2 linked regions of the Sus scrofa genome follow. The protein of the gene in region 2 binds, or shares a complex with, the protein of the main gene of each other region. Links are inferred from orthologs where the notes say so. Each region holds a gene or a part of one and is shown on either strand. Other genes may lie near its edges. The genes, in order: RHOG and ELMO1.

Evidence for each region.
Region 1: the proteins of ELMO1 (region 2) and RHOG are in contact, whole or in part, in a crystal structure (PDB 7Y4A), measured with the Homo sapiens proteins. The link is inferred for Sus scrofa from reciprocal best matches to the Homo sapiens genes ELMO1 and RHOG. Residues at the interface, in NP_001193409.1 of Homo sapiens: Lys9, Val10, Ala11, Glu13, Tyr18, Pro19, Leu21, Met22, Ala54, Asn71, Gly72, Ile74; in NP_001656.2 of Homo sapiens: Val36, Phe37, Asp38, Trp56, Tyr64, Arg66, Leu67, Leu70, Ser71, Pro73, Gln74.

Annotation. Positions count from the first base shown.
Region 1 is NC_010451.4:6,292,737-6,295,412, forward strand, and holds RHOG (rho-related GTP-binding protein RhoG), read left to right. Parts: upstream 1-1,492; coding exon 1,493-2,068; downstream 2,069-2,676.
Region 2 is NC_010460.4:36,964,403-36,968,224, reverse strand, and holds part of ELMO1 (engulfment and cell motility protein 1), read right to left. Parts: intron 2,806-3,822; coding exon 2,636-2,805; intron 1-2,635. UniProt on the Homo sapiens protein: Involved in cytoskeletal rearrangements required for phagocytosis of apoptotic cells and cell motility. Acts in association with DOCK1 and CRK. Was initially proposed to be required in complex with DOCK1 to activate Rac Rho small GTPases.

The sequences.
Region 1 (2,676 bases), on a different chromosome or scaffold from region 2:
CTCAGGAAACATAAACACGTTGCCTGAGACCATACAGGACCGGCTGGGGGAGCTGTGGTTCGAGTCCCAGCCAGTCTGTTCCAGCCTGTGTGTGTTCTCAGCACTCGTGCTTTGTGGTACTTCATTCTCTACCCACGAGTCTGCCAGCCCCTCGGATTCTTCAGAGGCAGAGGCCGTGGTCTCAGAAAAGGGAATTAAGGGGAAAATCGAAGGTCGGCCTCACTCCACCTTGAGACGGGATGCAGACATCGGGAGCCACAGCCTCTGCCTCCTTCCATCGTGATGTACAAGGTTCCAGACCCAGTCCCAGCCCCGGCTCAGTCGCCAGTGGTCTCCGGCCCTGAGTTGCCAGGCTGGCTGTGTGTGGCCAGATGGGGTTTCCTGTGCTTCCAGGAACAAGGGGGTGAATTCTTCCTCCTTTTCCCCACGGCAGGGTACCCGGGATGAGATACAGCCACTGTCTAGAGAATTGTGCTTCCTACTCAACAGGTTTCTCCCTGCACCATTTGGGTTGCCCTCACCAGGGTGTCAGATTTAGAACTGAAACATCAGCGTGTTAGGCGGGGCTGGCCCTGAGTTGAGAGGGGCTCCATCCATGGCTGCATCTCCTAGGGACCCGGACGGCTGTCCTGTGCCGGAAGCCCTCCCCAGTCTGCTCAGCACGGGGGCTCCGCGGCTGACGGAGGATCTGGCCGGTCTCTACGCTTATGCCCCTCCTTTTTATCTACACTTAGATAAAAAGCAGGAAAAAGAAAAGCAGCGCATGATCACTGACGGCTTGTTATGACCCGGCCTGTTCCAAATGCTCTGCATGTGCTGACTTATATATATAGACTTACACACTCCTCCCAGCAACCCACTGGGGGAGCTATTATTTTACTCCCGTTTTACAGATTAGAACAATGAGGCATAAAGAGGTGAAGCAGCTTGTCTGGGGTCATACAGCTAGGAGACAGCAGAACCAGATTTTGCCCTTCGCGGTCTGGCCTCAGAACTCAGATGCTTCACCTGCTCTATCACACGCCCCAGCCCCAGCGCCGTACCTCCGAGCATCTCCGCTTGGTCTCAGACGACTCTCTCCCATCATGTGTCTGTCTCTCTGAGTCTCTCTGATAGGATTTCGGGATGGTGTCAGGTTAAAAAGAATGGGTTTCCCTCTTTTTTTTTTTTGCCTTTTCTAGGGCCGCTCCTGGGGCATATGGAGGTTCCCAGGCTGGGGGTCGAATTGGAGCTGTAGCCGCTGGCCGACGCCAGAGCCACAGCAACGCCAGATCCTTCGCCCACTGAGCAAGGCCAGGGATCGAAGCTGCAACCTCCTGGTTCCTAGTCAGATTCGTTAACCACTGCGCCACGACGAGAACGCCTGGTTTCCCTCTGTATGCCATCTTTTCTTGCCCGTGGATGGCGGACTCCCTAACACGAGTCCCTCTCGTCTGTCCCTAGGCCAGAAGGGGAGGGAGGCACAGCCTCCGCTGCAGCAGCCGCACCCGCGATGCAGAGCATCAAGTGCGTGGTGGTGGGCGATGGCGCCGTGGGCAAGACGTGCCTGCTCATCTGCTACACGACCAACGCCTTCCCCAAGGAGTACATCCCCACAGTGTTCGACAATTACAGCGCCCAGAGCGCAGTCGACGGGCGCACCGTGAACCTGAACCTGTGGGACACAGCGGGCCAGGAGGAGTACGACCGCCTCCGCACACTCTCCTACCCTCAGACCAACGTCTTCGTCATCTGTTTCTCCATCGCCAGTCCGCCCTCCTATGAGAATGTGCGGCACAAGTGGCATCCAGAGGTGTGCCACCACTGCCCCGACGTGCCCATCCTCCTGGTGGGCACCAAGAAGGACCTGAGATCCCAGCCTGACACCCTACGGCGCCTCAAGGAGCAGGGCCAGGCGCCCATCACGCCGCAGCAGGGCCAGGCGCTGGCCAAGCAGATCCACGCTGTGCGCTACCTCGAGTGCTCGGCCCTGCAGCAGGACGGCGTCAAGGAAGTGTTTGCTGAGGCCGTCCGGGCCGTGCTCAACCCCACGCCCATCAAGCGTGGGCGGTCCTGCGTCCTCTTGTGACCCTGGCACTCAGCTTGGAGGCTGCCCCTGCCCCCCACCAGTTGTGCCTTTGTGCCTTGGCGCCTTGTCTGCCCCCAGCTGTGCCTTAAGGACTAATCCTGGCACCCCTTGCCAGGGGGCTCCCCGAATGCCTTTCGCTCCTTAAGGAGGCCCATGGGGAGAGGGGCTTTGGGCCCCACCCCACTCCGTCTGGGAGCACCAGGTATTCTTGAGAGCTCCCCCAGGCCGAGGTCGGACCCCTCCCCAAGAAGCCAACCCAGCGCCCCCTCCCTTCTGAGCAGCTGATCCCGCTGTCCACGCAGATGTCGCTGCCAGTTGTGGTGCTTTCTCAGATTGGAGCTCTGGCCGTCCCCGACCTCTCCCCGCTGCTCTTGGAATCGCTCCCCTCAAGATGCTCTCCCTTCCCAAGAAGGAGCCACGGAATCCTGAGAAGATCCATGTGCCCTACCCTACGCCCCTGTGCCCAGGCCTTCTGCGCCCGCTGACTGACTTGGCCCCCACCCCACCCCCTCCGGGCTCCTGGGGGCCTCTCCTACCCCCATCAGCATCAATAAAACCTCCTGTCTCCAGTGGCCCTGGCTCCTCCCTGTGTGCTAGGCATTGGGGGT
Region 2 (3,822 bases):
GGGCTCAAAATCACAACTCGTACTCCACTGCTTGCTCGTAACAAGAAGTGAGGGATCAGGCACACTGCACACTAGATTCAGCCTGGAGCTTCAGACAAAGACTGAATTTTCTTTCTCCTTTCCCTCGGGCACGCCTCTTGGATCCCTCAATGTATTCAATTTCCCTCGAGCTGTTTCAAGATCCAACTCCAATTTATAGTAACTACTTTGGATTCTGCTAACACCCAGAATCTCAGCTCTCCTGCCCTACTCCAAGCTGATGTTTGCCAAAAATGTACTAAGAGTTTTAGCCATCATTAAAAAAAATAACGGATACCCGTCTACAATTGCCCCCTTCCAGATCACCTAGTCTTGCTGGCCAGTCCTCTTGGATTTGCCTTTTTCCCCTCTTCATTCCTAGATATTTTCTATACTTGTCTGTAAAGTAAGACCCCCCCCAACTCCAAACTCTGGAGAACGTTCTTATATAGGAGATATTCCTGCTGTTATAAAACATGTTCTCTTTGAATAAGAAAAAAAAGAATCTTTTATTAGTGCCAATTGCAGATGCTAAATAATGCCAAGTGTAGGAGGAGACAGGAAGGAAGGAAGGAAAGGAGTGGGCCGAGACCCATCTCTACCATACACAGTCATCAGGTCATTCTTCTTCTTTTTTTTTTTTCACTTTTATAAAATCATGCGTTTTAACAATTAAAAAAAGAAAGTTTGAGTCGACCTCACTATTCTTTAGCATGTGTTTCAGAGATAAAATGCATTTTAAGATGATGTCATTAGGTACATTTATTTCATAATATGATGGCCTTATACTGTCTCCTTACTTTGAATGAGTCCAGGCATAAGACTACAACCTATGATTCTACTATATTCTCTAGCTGGGTGTCAACCTAGCATCATGGTGGTGTGGATTCTGAGTGGGTAAGATGGTTGGGTTTTAGTTAAGCCCAGAAAATGAAATTCCCGTAAGTGATTATTACAAAGGTGTGGCAGTGGGATGGAGGCAGGGGGCTCAGTAGCCCAGATTTTTCATAGTGATTATCAGGTCGTTCTTTAAATCACTATGTACTGAAGAGAGGTTTAACGGAGCCAGGTTGAAACCCCAATTCTCAATGCTATTTATTCTTCCCTAGTAAACACCTATCCCAACGCTGCACATCATTTATATGGTGGAATACAGACAGTGTAGTTAGTGGGCTCTGCATTCTCACGTGCTGACTTGCACGCTCTAATGGTCTCTGCCAGCAGCACCTGTCTATAGGAAATGAGCCGGTCCTGTAGACCCCACCGGGCTACTCTGGTCAAGCGAGTTATCTGTCCATTCATAAAAGCTAGACCCACATGGCTCCTTAGACGCCACAGTCACATCAGAGAATCAAACCCTTCCCTGAGGTGAGGGCACCAATCAGAAATGCCCATCACGGAGTTCCCACCCTGGCACAGTGGAAACGAATCCGACTAGGAACCATGAAGTTGCTGGTTCGATCCCTGGCCTTGCTCAGTGGGTTAAGGATCCGGTGTTGCCTTGAGCTGTGGGGTACGTTGCAGACACGCCTCGGATCTGGCATTGCTATGGCTCTGGTGTAGGCTGGCAGCAACAGCTCTGATTAGATCCCTAGCCTGGAAACCTCCATATGCCACGGGTGCGGCTCTAAAAGTACAAAACAAACAAACAAAACCCGCCCATCCCTTCCTCGCTTGTGACAGAACTCCAATCCCTGTCAGGTTCATGAGATACAACTGGTCCGACCTCTAGACTCCCAGCCTTCAGAAGGAGTTGTAGCTCAACTGAATTGTGCCTCCATAAATTTTTGGTTGGTTAGGCTCACATCTTTTCAAATTTTTTTTTTTCCTTTTTAGGGCCACACCTAAGTTCCCAGGCTAGGGGTGGAATTGGAGCTGCAGCTGCCAGCCTACGCCACAGCCACAGTGACACCAGATCAGAGTCACGTCTACAACCTATACTGCAGCTTGCGGCAACACCAGATCCTTAACCCACTGAGTGAGGCCAGGGATCAAAACACACATCCTCACGGATAGTATGTCAAGTTCTTAACCTGCTGAGCCACAACGGGAACTCTGATCTTTTCAAATTTTCCCAACTTCTACTTTTTTGCATATGTAGATACCGAATGAATATTTTCTGTATTTAACGGTAAATAATTAAGGACACATATTTCATCAGTCAATGTTAATTTTTTTAAATTACTTCAGGGATGTTATTTTGACCTGGTTTAAGACTTTGAAACATAAGGAGGTGTTCTTATACTTTTTTAAATGGAATCAGGGAATAAAAATGTTCTTGGAGATAAGCAAGGGATATGAGGGATTTCTATTTTGTAAGAATTGTAATTTTAGTGTTGGAAAGGCCCTTAGAGATAATGACCTAATATTTTTCCTTATAAATATGAAATGTCAGATATTGTCCTAGATCTTGGCTAGTCGGTGGGTGGAGAATGTGGTGATACTTAAATTACAAACCACACCCCACACACTATCTTAAAAGCCAATTTTTTTCCCCGGCGCCTAGTCATTTCTGGTAATTAAAACTAGAAATTGCTAGTATAAGGAAAATAACAGACACCCAGACTGTCATTAAGAAAGTACAGGGCAGATGGAAATCGAGATAAAAGACGCTTACTCAGTGCCGCTCTCCACCATCTGTGTGAGAAGAGAGATGCCGTCCAGATTGATAAACTCCTGGGCAAACGTGACATCCCGCGACAGGCTGGCCAGGTCCTTCAGAGCCTCCAGTTTGGCGTCCATACTCGACGACTGAATCCGTTCATGGAGCTGCTGGGCGTTTTGAGCCTCACCGGGGACAAAAACAAAGCAAAGAGTCTTCAGTGGAATCCACAACGGACAGAAAAGTAACATGTCATTGAAAAATGAAGATACATTATTTAGATGAATTATTACAGGCTAAGGGCAGGGTTCCAGCCGTCGTGACCCCACCTTCACGCGATGCTTGTCAATGTCACAATAGGCATCTGTCGCCTTCTTTGAACAGAACCCATACGTCCATCCCATGGAAGAGCGACAGCTCAGGAGCAGGGACGCTCCGGCAATGATGGCAGTGCGCAGGGAAAATGGGGAGAATGTTTACTTTGTAGTAAAATGATTATCTATAAGTGACAAAAAGCTATTTGCTTAATTAAGCAATTACACAAATTTATACAGCATGTTCACCCGGTTCAGTCAATACTCTGAGTAATAACTGCCTACACACAATGTTCAAAAGTTTCATTACACACCCAAATAATTTTTCAGGGTTACTGAATATCTTTCAGCACAGCACAGTGGGGCTTGCAAATTCCACCTTTCAACAACGTGTGTTTCACATACATTAGTTATTTATTGCATGAATTTAAAACAAAATAATTAGGCAAACAAAGTGGCAGCTTTGCCTAGAATTAGAGTTCTCCTTTTTTCAAGGCATTTGCACTTGGCGTCTACATGTAGCACAGAGAGGGACAGAAATATATCGGAGGAGTTAAACTTCCAGATAATAATGTGTCTTCTGTATTTCTCATCTACTCAGTAAAGGTTTTCATATATACCTTTCAGTTGGGATAGAGAAAGAAAGAGAGAAAGGAAGAAAGGAAGAAAGGAAGGAAGGAAGGAAGGAAGAAAGAAGGGAAAGAAAGAAAGAAAGAAAGAAAGAAAGAAAGAAAGAAAGAAAGAAAGAAAGAAAGAAAGAAAGAAAGAAGGAAAGAAAGAAAGGAAGGAAGGAAGGAAGGAAGAAAGAAAAGAAAGAAAGAAAGAAAGAAAGAAAGAAAGAAAGAAGGAAAGAAAGAAAGGAAGGAAGGAAGGAAGGAAGAAAGAAAG